Linked DNA regions of Arabidopsis thaliana. The protein of the gene in region 3 purifies or fractionates together with the protein of the main gene of each other region. This does not show direct contact. Each region holds a gene or a part of one and is shown on either strand. Other genes may lie near its edges.

Region 1 (4,394 bases), 800 kb from region 3:
CCCTGCTTACGAAGAAGGGATTTATAGGGTGGAATGGGTTAACGAGTTTGAAGACCAGAACGTGTGGTTTAAAACATAACAGGGGCTGAGATCATAGAAAACATAATTCACGACAGAAACACATGCTCTAGCTGCGTTATGGACGGGCCGGGACTGCATAAAACTATTTGTTTCGGGGATAGTTTTACTTGTTATGTTTGGCTTGTGTGTATTTTTTGGTGTCGTGAATGTTTGATGTTATTTTAAATAGAGAGATAGAAGGAGAGGCCTTTGTTTCATGCTCTGACGTGACAGTGGGTCTCCTGCCTGCGACTGGTGATCACGGCAAGATGATTGGTCCGGCAAGGATGTGTCAGGTGTCCTAGTTTTCTTAAAACATTATAAGTATAGATCTTTGGCTCATGTAAAGACTTGGAAAACCTTATGTTTTGAGCAATGGAGTGTTTGTTCTTTTTGGAATTACATTGTTGTAAGTTTTCAAAGGTTGGACTTGAGATGTAAGTGGAAGTTTCCACAGTTGTAACTTTTGAAACATCTGCTTTATATAAAATAGTACCACTTTTTTGGAAAAAAAGACAAAAAAGAAAAGACTTGGGAAACCTTATGAATGTTAAAAGTGTTGCCACTTCAATACAAACATCGTACTTAAAAATACAAGTAACCACTTGGGCCATTACAAAGTAAATCAACCATCATATATATATACACAATCACGATGAATAATGTTTTTTGAGTATATTAATGAGAAAGCTTGTATGAGATGATCAAGATGATGGCGAGAACGAGAGCCACGATTACCGATGTAATGATCCATTTGTTCCTAGTCATTCTCCTTGACATAGCCGTCAACACCTTCTTGCTCTTGTCAATGGCGTCATCCACACCATGAAGCTGTGATTCAAAATCAGAAAAGTTAGCTTCTCAATGATCTAATTCAAACAAATCATTGGCACTGATAGATACCAAACCGAGCAATTGTAGACGGTACCTTGTTGTGCGCATGAAGGAGGGTTTGGCGTTGCTGACTCAAATCTTGGACAATTGAGATGCCAACCTCTTCTGTCTCCAGCATTAGTCTTCTACTCTCCCTGATTCTGTCACTTGATTGGTCAAGCCTCTCCACGGACATTGCCAATCTTCCTCTTTGATCAGCAGATACCTGGAACATGGACAATAATGTAAATCACAGCAAAGTCTTTGCCATCTAAAAGTTTGTGTGAAGATGAATATAAAGGAGGGTCCCCTCAGGACAAAGAAGCCTAACTGATGCAAGTCAATTAAGACAACTAAGATAATGAGAAAACAAGAGTTTCTATTTAGGAGTTAGAAGCTTACTGCATGCAGATCCGCCATTCCGGATTCCATCAACTCTTCACGGGAAGACGGCTTAGCATCTGCGGAAGAGACTCGTTTGAATTCCTTCTTCAATTGGTTCAGATCAGATTTATACTCTCTTAGTTTAGAAAGACACACAGCTTTAGCACTCGGCTGCAAACTTCTTGCCTCAAGATCCATTTTCCGGATCTACAAAAAAACCACAGAAGCATATATATTAATTTTAAAAAAGAAAGAACAGAACGGTAACAACATTAAAGCAAGTTAAATGCAAATACCAAGACATCAGCTTCGTCTATTCCAGACTTGATCTCAGCAATCTTCCCCTTCTTCTCCTCTATAAAAGCACACAACAATATCTAATCAAACCTCTACTCTGGTTCTATGGCACCACAAAATGTAACAACTCCATGCATGTCTATGTACTATAACTCCAAGAAAGACAGTGGTAACCATAGACTGACAAACAAATGAAAAAAAACACCAACTCAATAAACCTCTGCAGCTACATAACTAGGTTCTTATGATCTTATCTTCAGTCTTAATTTCTTCACAAAACTACTTGACCAATCCAAGTAAATTACATTCCCAGATACTACAGAACTCGTCAGATCGTAAACAAGCTAAAACGATTAGTAAACACTCATGCACCTCTACTTTACAAATACCCCCAAATTCGGACAAAATTAGATGAAATAGATTGAGAAACAAGTTAATAAATCTATGCAACTACATAACTATCTAGACCTAACTAGGTTATCGTCTTCTAATCCAAGCAATGAGAAACAGATCCTATGTCTCAACATTCCTAAATGTTACAAAACTTCGTCAGATCCTAAACAAGTCAGGACGATTAGTAAAGAACACTAGTCCACCAGCTACTTGTCACAGCTCAAAAGCTCCAATAACCCCAAATTCGAAGATTCGAATTTCTAAAATCAGGTAAATTCGAAGATCTCGCGTTCAAGATCCGAAATCGGGAGCGTCTGGATTTTACCTCCGTTGGAGAGAACCGATGCAGAGTGACATTTTCTAGAGAGATTGGTTGAGAGCTCGCAGTATTGACGCTCGTACCCTTCAAATACGTCGCTCATCTTCAATTATATGTTTCGATCTTGAGAAATTTGGTGGATTTTTTCTGATCAATCGGATCCTTTGTTTGATTGGATTGGATCGGATCTAGAAGCAAAACAGTTTCCTCTTTGCTTAAAGATAATCAAACAACTCTTCTTCTTCTTCCTTTGTATTTCTCTGCTCGGGGACAAGGAGGAACAATCAAACAAAGCGGTGCGTTTTATATTGACACGTGTCAGCCACTGCGTATTAAGTCCCCCATGCTGCAATCGATGCAAATGTAGGTGAGACAAACCAAACCGAATCAAACCGTTAATTAAGATTGAAATCTAAGTGTCTTTTCTCACTTTTTCAGCTCTCGGAAATAGTGTACATTTTATGCAGAACCAAGATTACTCGTCCAGGAAATAGACAAATCCATTGATAGAAGTCGAATCTGTTTTGCGTAACTATGTGGGATTCTTTGATAGTCTCATGAAATCAAAGAGATCTCAGAGGCTAAGAGTAAGATAGTCCACTCGAGTAAAAATGGGGGGAACAAGCAGAGATTCTCAAACTATATTAGCCAGGTGAAGAGAACCAACAGATATTATTAGAAATTCCACTTGGGATTGTTCGTGTTACATCACATTCATCGACTCAGTCATTATATTCTACAAGAGTACAAGGTAAACATAAAAAGGATCCTTTGGGCTCTTATAGCTCATTCTTGACCTTTGCATCCCCATTTGGTAACACACTTTGCGATTGCGCCAACCGTTTCGCTTCCTGAATATGACCAAAACTGTTTAATCCCCTTGACTTACTATAATATATTAATGAAGATGTACAATACTAGTCGAAGTTAACAACTTACAGCAGCAGAACTAGCACGGATTTCTCTATACATATCGACTTCATCAGGGAAATTCTGTTCAAGCTCCTCCAGAATATGTTTTCTCAAATCCTATTTATAACAAAATGTTGATTAAGAGACTCAGTAACCTTAAGAATCATACACAAATTAAGAATCAGAAGAAAAGGAGTCACCTTAAAAGCATCAGTCTTGCCCTTAGTAACTTGATTTCTAGCTATGCAGCTATTAAGAACATCTTTCGTAAACTCATCCGGGTTCTTCCCATCATCAATCAAGCTATACGAAAACGCAAACATAAGTAAGCAAGTAAAAGTATCTATCTTCAAAGTGCATACTAAAAACAAAAAGGACTTGTTTTCTCACTTAAGAACCTCCATGGGGATTTGAATGTTGCATTTCTCAGACAACTTAGTCATGTTATCTAGCTCCATCACAAGAGAGTTACTGCAAATACACACACACACACATATTCATTCAAACAATAGTTACAATACCCAAAACAATAAACACAGATGAGTAGAGGAGTTACTTACAGGCGCTGGAGGAGATGGAGTTGAGACGCGGGTGTGAAAGAAGTGACGGTAAGGTGTAACTGATGAAGGACTCCTAAAGTTTTCTCAATAGAGTTTATGACTTGGGAAAGATTCTCCTTTGAATCATCAGCAACGGTCACAGTTGAAGTCCCATCATTGGTTTGATATCTGATTGTACCATTGCTCCCACCAATCCCTGCACTTGTGTTCTGTGTTGGATCCATCACAAGCTGCCACAAAATATAAACTTGAGATATATGACCTGATGCGTTAGCGATAACAAAACAAAAACGAGAAAACGCAATTTTCGATCTCAAAATCAAACGAAAATTCTTCAGAAACCTTATTCAATTGGAGTGGATTTTGGTATCCAAATTTCTAATTTTAGATGCAAATTCCACAAAAACGCCCAGATCAAGAATAACGATAACAATAACAATTAGCGTAGAATGAAGATCCGTGACTTACCTACAACAGAGATGCGTTTGGCGAGAGTGAGGTGGAGATTCTCCGGACGAATTAGGTTTTCCTCCGAGCCTTACCGTGAAAACCGAAAAGGGACCGACGAAGACAGGGAAGCGGAAGATATTTGGACA
Region 2 (4,779 bases), on a different chromosome or scaffold from region 3:
GGAGGAATCGAGTCTTTGAGTATAAATAGAGTTGTATCGAGTATTTGTTCTTCAGTCTTTTGTTTTAAGAAAATCAATAAAAAAACAAAAAGAGGTAACCCTAGTTACCCAAAGAGCTTGTGTTTGCATAGCACTGAGAGGAGTACTCTCGGCTCATTGTTCTAGTTCAAGAGGACGATCATCGTCTTGCACGAGTGTCACAAAATTTTGTTTAACATGAGCCTCAAAACAACTTGTCACGAGTTTCTCTATGAGTTTATATGTCTAGGTTTGCTAATCTAAAGTGTGTGAAGCCAACGCATTCGTTTTTGTTTTATTTTTTTCTCCCTTGCACAAAAAGATCATTTTCAATTTTTCATTATGAGTTGATTACTTGATTTCCTTCATGTGTTATTGAATTTGGAGGACTAGTGATTCTTGTAGTGATTATCACATTTTCCCACTAGGTAGTTTAGTGTCAGTTTATTTCTTAACTATAGTGATTTTAACCATTTACGGTTTACACAAAATACTTCTACAGATTTGGTAAAACGATTGGAAAAGAGAATTCAACTAGAAAAAAGAGAGGGTTACTGTTTGTTACAAACAAGACAAGCTGTTTTTCATTCTAAATTGTTGGCATATGACTAAAACAAAATATTCTTAAGAATTAAAAGAACAATCATGATCAAACAGAGTACAAGGAGTATAGTTGCACATTTCACCATTGCTCCTTCTCTTTGTGTTCTCTCCGCCTATTTAAAAATTGAAATGTCTTTGTGAGTTCCATACGGTGAAAAATCTGTAGTACTCACAAAATCTTATGAGTTTTGGGTAAAGAATCAAACCTTTTGTAGTTGTTTATAGCCTTCCTCGACCGATGTAGAAACGTTTTGGACATTGTAGTCTATCCGATCAACAATCGTGCCCTAATTGATACAAGAATATAAGAAAACTAATTGTTGAGAAGCCAGCAAAAACTTTGTATCTAGCCAGTTATGTAATTCATAAGCCTTTTAATGACTAAGCTAGGCACCTGGTCAATCACAAGGGCTGATAAGTCTTTCATTATCTGTGCAAGGTCATTCACGGAACCCAGAACCTAGACAGAACTCTGAAGTTAATCGCCATCGAAAATGTGAAGCACGCAGCTTCTTAAATATGGTCGAGTAACAACTTCCATTACCTGTTGTATCTCTCGTTCCCTTTCCGCTGAGACATGTTGCCCTTCCTTCAACTTGATTGTCTGGTGTTCATCGAAACCCTACAATTTATTGAAGACCAGCGATTCTCATTATGGTATTGGCAGAGTAAGGACGACAAGGTTCTGAAGATTGATTAAAAAAAATCTGACTCGTCCTAGCATGATAACCATAAGAAGTGTTTCTTAAAAATGTAAGGAAGACAAGGATAACTGATTAAAAATCTGAATTGCTCTAGCTAGATAACCATATTAAGTCCTTATTAATTTGTCAATGATATATAGTTTTACAATACAAGTAAGCACTTACCATCCCACCAAGTTCATCCTCTTCATCCAGTCTCGACATCTTTCCATTCACATTAAACTCTAAATCTACTTCATCCTGACCCTATGATTAGAGAAGCCAAATACAAATAAGAACATCATATTACGGTACATGCATGTCTCAAGAATCAACACTTTTTTTGTTTATTTCTTGAAAATAAAGGAAACATACCTCTTTCTGCTGCTGCAGACGTTTTAAGTAAGTAGACTGTTTTCTGCGGAGCTCCATGGAAAGGTTCTGAAGATCTGTTGCAAGAGAACGCTGTCAAAAGCAGTATGCCAAAAAGTAGGTCAAGTCCATTGGAGAGCCCCACTATACATGTACACAGAACTTTATCCTCATGCTACAAACTCAAAACATAGAATAACCCAAAGTACATTATATAGAGGGAAAAAAAAACACTTCATACATTTTGCTGACTGATAATGTCAACTAGATAGGTAGTCAAAACATATGAGAGTGATTTAACCCAAAATTCCTAACTTTCTTCTCTAAAAGCACAAAAGAAAAGGTAATGACCATGCATTCTTTATTGTTAACAAGCTCGATTCTGAAAAAGTGTCCAACAACCTACCTGCACATTTTTCCTGAGATTTGATTCTTCAGAAGGCCCTCTAGTAGATAACATCTGCAATCTCTTTTCTGACTTCCTCAACAAATCTGTGATCTCATGAGTGAGCATCTCGACTTCACGATGAATCCCTTTGTTATCTCCAAATGTAGGCATAAGAGCCTTTGAATGTGCCTTTGCTAGTTCATTCATTTTGTCTCGCACCTTTTGTATATTAAAAGTTATCTCCTCAGAATCATCAACCCAAGCTGGTGGCATACCAATTGTGAAGGCATCACTACTGCAAACATTCACAACAACACTTAAATCATTTGCTCATTCTGTTACCTAATTCGTTTAGGGTTCTAATTCTGTATCTCAAATCAATCCCATGATTACAATTCGTTTCTATATATAAGTTCATAGAATTTCCCAGGTTTTGCAGAATCAAACAACACATTATATTATTACCTTGATGGACCAGGATCATAGGAATTCAAAGGAGCATAAGAGGAGTGATTGGACCGGGAAAATGAACCGCTAACCATTTCGATCACCGGACCACCGAACGAATCAGACGCCGATAAAGATAATGGAGCACGCGCGCTCTTACACGCATCCCTGTGTTTCCGGTACACCGTCGTTCGATTCCTCGTCGCCATCAATACCAAATCAATTGATTCTCAACAGAATCTCGAAAGTAAAATTTCCCGGAGAAAATAAACAAAATCGGAGCTTTTGTCGTCGGCAAAAGCAAACGAATCTGAATCGCAAAATCGTTTCTCATTAGCGCGTGTTACAGACTTAGCAACGAAGGAGAAGTATTTGGGCCTTTTTAGGCCCATTTATATATTGGGCTTATAGTCCACTTGCGCGATAGGGTCAATATAAGTGTGTGGAGCACACGTTTTAAGACGGTGGCGCAAAGACGAAAATGCCCGTAGATTCGTGGCGGCTAAAAGTCAACAGAGGGACGTTGGTGGTTCAGGGTAAAAGAGGCTATAGTGACCGGTTAGGGGTAGTTTGGTCATTGGATTTAGCTCAATAGATTCGTGTCCATGGATTCCCTCATGTCGCCAGAGAAAAAGACCACATTTAAAGGTCTTGCCTTTTTGGTGTGTTTCCTCGCACTTTCAGGCTGAACAAAGTACTGACAGATGCTAATAAATACACGGAGGAAGAATATGCTCCTTTAATTATTATCTGAGATTTTTCAATTCAAGTTCGTGTGGATTCAGAATCAAAATGGAAGAAGATTTGTTGGGCATTTGTGGGTTTGATTCGTCGAAGAAATATCGATTAGAAGAACTTGCCAAGTATCAGTCGGGTTAGTGTAAAGATCCATTCTTTTTCCCAATTGCATTTAGCTTTGTTTTAGGGTTTATGCTTTATATGCAGGTGGTTTTAATTTCTTTATCAAATTTCAATTCTTTTGGCCCTTAAGGTCTAGTGAGTTTAAATTTTGTCACTTTATGGGTAAACTTTATGTTATGTAATTGATAAAAGTTTTGTGATGGTGAAATTTTTGTTTAGGTTCATGTATTGAGTTTGAAGATGATGATGAAATGGCAGTGGATTATCCATGCCCGTTTTGCTCAGATGATTATGATTTAGTTGAATTGTGTCACCATATCGATGAGGAGCATCAACTAGACGCCAACAATGGGGTAATTGCAACTCGTATCCATCTCCCAAATCAGTTACTGTTCTTTAAACTATACATTTGAGTTTTTACATGAAGCAGTTAGTTGTAAATTTAGACTATTTATCGTGTGATGTTCATTGTTGTACTCTAATGGTTACTTTAGTAGGCAGGATTGTGATTCTGTAAGGAGAGTTGGTAGGGACTTCTTGGATTTTAGTTCACTTGGATTATTTGCTTGATGCTATGAGGAACCATTTTGTAGTTGTGAAGTGTTTGGTGTGAGAAATGAAAACAGTCTTTTGGTGATGATGAATGTAATAACTTCTCACAAATTCAGCTTTGGTTGTGATGTAGATATGTCCGGTTTGTAGCAGACGAGTGAAGATGCATATGGTTGATCACATTACCACTCAGCATAGAGATGTCTTCAAGGTATCCTTTTTTATTTACTCTTCTTGCTTTCGTTACCATTTAGTAGAAAACTTGTAAGTCTTTTTGTGCTTATTCTATATCTTGGTATGTTTTATATCGGTTATCTGACATTTGTGTTCCTTGACGAATACTTACCTTGAACAAAAGCAGAGACTTTACAAGGATGAGTCATATTCAGCATTTTCTCCAGGGACTAGGAAATACTTACAGTCTCTAATCGATGAGCCGTTGTCTACTAATCATACATCTAAAAGTGTTCTGGACCCATTATTATCATTTATATACAATCCGCCGTCACCAAAGAAGTCCAAGCTTGTACAACCTGATTCATCTAGTGAAGCAAGCATGGAAGACAATAGCTTAATAAGGGATTCAACAGAAAAGTAAGTAATTCTTTGACATTTTCTTGATTCTGCTTGCTTTATCTCATCTTCTTAAACCTTGTCTAAAGATACATTTCGTATTTCTGTGTGCTCAGAGACTGGGAATCGCCGTCTCCCTTGTCAGATACAGAGCTACTAGAGAAGGCAAAGAAGAGAGAGTTTGTACAAGGTTTAATATCATCAGCCATATTTGATCACATTTACAACTTCTAAGAGCATAAGTCTTTGTATATGAAACTCTCGCAAAGTAGTCTGTACTCT
Region 3 (4,375 bases):
GATTCTTTTATGGGCTTACGTTGGGCCTTATCAGCCCAAATCTCTTCTTATTAATGATACAATGACTCATTATTCATTTTACAATCTAAAGCGTTGTCATTTTGCACACAAAAAAAAAAAAAAAGCGTTGTCATAAGAGTTTAACGATAGTATCAGAAAGATTCAACAATAAATCAGTTATTCAACTAATTATATCCGGCAATGATTCTTCCGGAGATCATGCTTATAGTGAGTGAGTCCTTTGGATTCGTTGATGATCGATCAGTTGAAGCATTTGCCTTCAATTATGAACTATTAAGGGTGGTCTTTTGAGCAGTAGCCGGGTTTGTTGCCACAAATTGTTAGATTTTTGCCGGTTCTTTATTTTTGGAGTCATTTTGTTGTCTTTAGATGTTTCTTATGGAGTCTGCTTTCGGAATTTTTTTTTCGTTACAGAACTGAAGAAGCAAAGGAGACATTGCGGAAACTTAAAGAAGGCATAATAAAGGTGTATTCTATAGGGAAGTTTTTGACGGCTTACTTTTGATGAGACTGATTTGTATTGTTTAAGGAACTTAGCCATGGGATCAAGCTATGAAAGTATTTAATTTCAGGTTCTCTAGAGATCACACAGCCAAAGTTCAAAATTATATGTGGGATTGGATAGGAGAAGAAAAAACAGACAACCTTATGTAAATATTCCATTTGTTTCACCACAAACATGATAATGTAAGACATTAAACTCCCATCTATAAGATCCCGCGGCTCTGTTCTTTAGGTCAAGAAGACAAGAACGAATAGGATGATGAACAAGACGAGCAAGAAACATATCATCATCATTTGACCTTTTGCTCCAGCTTTCTTCATTACCATTCCCACTTTTTTCTGTCACAATACCATTTTCATTCTTTCAGTTTTTACTTTCTGCAATCAAACCAGCAACAAGACCTTTAAGGGGTTTACCTGAACAAATTCAAGACGGTTCTTTGTGCTGTCCATCTCCGTATCCAATTCATCTATTATTCTCTCCTGAACACACACAATAACAAAAACTTGATGTTTCTGATCTCTACTGATACGTCCTACTGTTAAATCATCTTCCCATATTACTAACCTGTGCAACGAGTTCGTCGTGTATAGTGAGCCCCACTCCTCCAATTCTCTGTACACTTTTACTAAGCTCATCCAATTCTTCGTCTTGTTGCCTGAAGTGAAAAAAATGATGTTAAGTTATGGCACTACTCTGTTTTTGAACAACACTATGCTACAATCTTCAGTCTAAAATCGTTATAAACTCAGAAGCAAAGAAAAGACTGCAAAACAATGTAGAACACACAGAGAGAGCTTTACTTTATCAACAGCATTTGCCTATCTGATTCTGACTGTACAAAACCATCATCGTCTCTCCCTCCATACTGATCATATCTACTTGCTTCACCCGAGTTTGGCATTCTCATTAGTTCTCTACGCACTTCACTTGCATGACCTGCTCCAGAACTAACCTTTCCAGCTAAAACACCAGACTTCACATTCCGCACCTATAAAAAAAATCGTAATCGTCTTGCACAAGTCAACTAACAACAAATTTATGCCACTATGTAAAGCAGTATTCATAACAAACTTAGAGAACATACCTGTGTCCTAGCATTACTAGTCCATCTCCTCCGTTTTTCAAGCTCAGCTTCATCAATGCCATACCATGAAGGATCTTTTGCTGCAACAGTAATCGCTTTTTCCAGCTCATCTACCTTCCTATCAGTAAAAACAGCTTCAATAGCCATGAAAGGACTCGAATATATTCAATTGGAATTTCTAATCATGTAAATAAGGGCCAATACATTCCTACAAGATCCATTTACAAACACAAATCCTATTCCACACCAGCTAAATTATATATAAAGACGAGATTAATAGAACCGTGACTAAATACGAGTACCTGCCACTCAATGCTTCCACAAGTAGCAACAAGCTCCTTCGCCACATGTGCTTGATCACCCATGTCGGGAGAGATACGCTCCCATTTGTGGAATGTAGATTGCAACTTATCAATCTAACAAAGCATCATCCATCAATCACTGTACTTCAAAATCTAAACAAAAAAACATCTCTGGCAATTTCTGAACAACTTACAGAATCCTGAATCTCTTCTTTAACAATGTAGAATGGATCTTGAGCTGAAGACATCCCGAAATCAACAAAATTTTGCTACCCTATACACCAAATAACACAGCTGATTAAGCTATAGAAACAAGTTCTTATGCAAAGTTAGTTACAGAAACAGAATTTTGAAATTTCATCTCATTGGCAGGGATTGTTCTGGAGATGCGCAAATTCTACGATTGCAAAATTAGAGTTCCTAAGTCACAATGATCAAACTCGACAAAACTATTAGATCCAGAGAAATTCCGATTAAATCCTGGCTAATCTAGGGTTAGAATTTTATTCAATAGAACCGGAACGGCTTTATCAATCTATGTGCTTTAAGATCGACACAAACATTGGAGAAAAAGCTTGCGTTTAGAGACGATAACGACAAGGATCAATGCGAAAGGAGAATTGATGTAAGAGGAAAATTGAAGAAGCTTCCTTACCTGTGAAGGAATTAATCGAAAGGTGACGCGACGGAGAACAAACGACGGTGAAGTAAAAGAGATTCCGGCGTGAGATTCGTCTCTCTTACATAGCAAAACGCATCACCTGCGGTTGGCTTTGAGATTCGCTGAAAGTTTATTTTTGGGCTACTGGAGAATCTTATAAAGCCCAATAAGAGACCACAGAGCCCAATAAGTTATTACAAATCTACGACAGTATTAATAAAGACCATTTTCTACGTTACAAAATTTTGATTATTAACTGTTATAGAAAATGGTTATATTGAAACGCATATTTGGCATTTGTTATAGAAGAAAGAAACCACTCTTGCTGAGTTTTTGTTGGTTAAAGCGTGACCTAAGTCTGTCTATTGAGAAGATTCATAGTCCATGAAAAATCCGATGCTACTATAAATGATTGTTTACTAATCCTAGAAACCAAAAACAAATAATTGTTTTCTCAATTCAAAAATTGTATGGTAAAATTTTAGGGTTTACACATTTAAGATTTTAAGTGTTATAGATTTCCGGTGCACAGAAGAATGGTATATATTGTGAGTTTGTGATTAGTTTTGTTATGCAAACTTCTCACGTTAGGCAACTGTAAATATAATATCTCCAACAAAGCGGTCATGCAATTTGTTTTGTTGAAAATTTGTATATTTTACTAGCGGTCATGAATTTTTAAATCCCCCACACTCTATTTTTTAAAATATTTTTAACGTTTTGGGACCATGATGGATGTTGAACTTTCATTTCAGGATTTGGTGGAACGATAAAATTGGAAAGGCTTTGGAGTTTGGAACCTGAAGAACTTATAAAGTTAAAGGATGACACGTGACTTTAATAAAGAAATGCAATTCCCATAATCATATAATAGTCCAAATTTAGGAAGAAATGGGTGACATGAGTTTTAAAGAAGAAAGACGTCATGATTCCATTAAAACAAACCAAATTAGTTGGTGGCTTGGTGCTGACGTCTACCGACTTTTCCACCGTCCATCCTTCGACGATGGTTCTTTCTAAATGACCTTCTCAGTTTTTTCCTGTCATGCGTATTATTATTATTAGTTAATAAGGCTCCACTACTACTCGGAAAGTCCGAGTACAAATAATATGACAATAATGTCAAACTTATTCTTAGTATTGGTTTAAAAGAAGGATTCAACAAGAGTACTTAATCACGTCTCATAATTACCACTTTCATCCAAACATGGTCATTACTATATGACATGATCGTGTTACATTAATTTGGAAAGTAGTATATGTCTTTTTCCTAAAAGTTTATGTTTAGATTTTTGATCACTAAGAATATAATGTCATATATATTATTAACCTTTACACCTAAATGTTATATTAATTACTTGAATGATAAAACGGAAAATATCGAAAGTTTAGGCTAGGTCTCTCTAGCATCTCTAGTGTATTTATTTAGCAATCCCAAAACAAAATTGTGTTTTCTACAATTTTAGTATTAGATTACCAAAATTGTTGTATATAGTCTGGTGATTCCGTTTTGATGGTCGAGATCGAAAGAAGCAAGCATCCACTATGTGGTCGTCACATGCGAATATTTCTAAGTATACAACCATCTATCGAAAGTTTCGAAACAACCCAAATATAATAGTAATAAATTCTGAGAATTCTCCTATTTTTTATTGATATGAAAAAAGCAGTAAAATATTATGTAAAGTAGAGAGGAACCAAAATTAAAACGTGCAGATTTATTAAAAGAATAAAGTGGGATCCAAAAAGTCAGCGTGAAACATGTGATACGATATAACGACACGGTCCTATGACTAAGT

The links.
Region 1: the proteins of SYP61 (region 3) and VTI1B purify together in Arabidopsis thaliana (affinity purification with western blotting, with the first as the bait; one study listed by BioGRID). This does not show direct contact.
Region 2: the proteins of SYP61 (region 3) and SYP42 purify together in Arabidopsis thaliana (affinity purification with western blotting, with the first as the bait; one study listed by BioGRID). This does not show direct contact.

Annotation. Positions count from the first base shown.
Region 1 is NC_003070.9:9,214,138-9,218,531, reverse strand, and holds VTI1B (Vesicle transport v-SNARE family protein), read right to left. Parts: upstream 2,763-4,394; 5' UTR 2,430-2,762; coding exon 2,333-2,429; intron 1,673-2,332; coding exon 1,614-1,672; intron 1,525-1,613; coding exon 1,336-1,524; intron 1,160-1,335; coding exon 989-1,159; intron 892-988; coding exon 739-891; 3' UTR 522-738; downstream 1-521. Other genes in the region: AT1G26665 (Mediator complex, subunit Med10), read right to left, coding at 3,106-3,177, 3,266-3,355, 3,439-3,541, 3,629-3,709, 3,799-4,022. UniProt on the Arabidopsis thaliana protein: Together with either SYP41 or SYP61, required for membrane fusion; the fusion of phospholipid vesicles containing SYP41 or SYP61 and VTI12 is triggered by YKT61 and YKT62.
Region 2 is NC_003075.7:969,473-974,251, forward strand, and holds SYP42 (syntaxin of plants 42), read right to left. Parts: upstream 2,871-4,779; 5' UTR 2,721-2,870; coding exon 2,530-2,720; intron 2,360-2,529; coding exon 2,083-2,359; intron 1,770-2,082; coding exon 1,680-1,769; intron 1,572-1,679; coding exon 1,491-1,571; intron 1,244-1,490; coding exon 1,166-1,243; intron 1,082-1,165; coding exon 1,016-1,081; intron 909-1,015; coding exon 828-908; intron 735-827; coding exon 627-734; 3' UTR 522-626; downstream 1-521. Other genes in the region: AT4G02200 (Drought-responsive family protein), read left to right, coding at 3,304-3,385, 3,592-3,725, 3,787-3,828, 4,058-4,135, 4,286-4,518, 4,614-4,731. UniProt on the Arabidopsis thaliana protein: Contributes to the regulation of secretory and vacuolar transport pathways in the post-Golgi network, and to the maintenance of the Golgi apparatus and trans-Golgi network (TGN) morphologies.
Region 3 is NC_003070.9:10,014,221-10,018,595, reverse strand, and holds SYP61 (syntaxin of plants 61), read right to left. Parts: upstream 2,741-4,375; 5' UTR 2,571-2,740; intron 2,190-2,570; 5' UTR 2,164-2,189; coding exon 2,110-2,163; intron 2,030-2,109; coding exon 1,916-2,029; intron 1,846-1,915; exon of another isoform or gene 1,761-1,845; coding exon of another isoform or gene 1,728-1,760; coding exon 1,614-1,727; intron 1,518-1,613; coding exon 1,330-1,517; intron 1,185-1,329; coding exon 1,094-1,184; intron 1,009-1,093; coding exon 943-1,008; intron 865-942; coding exon 754-864; 3' UTR 549-753; downstream 1-548. UniProt on the Arabidopsis thaliana protein: Vesicle trafficking protein that functions in the secretory pathway; the fusion of phospholipid vesicles containing SYP61 and VTI12 is triggered by YKT61 and YKT62. Together with VTI12, required for membrane fusion.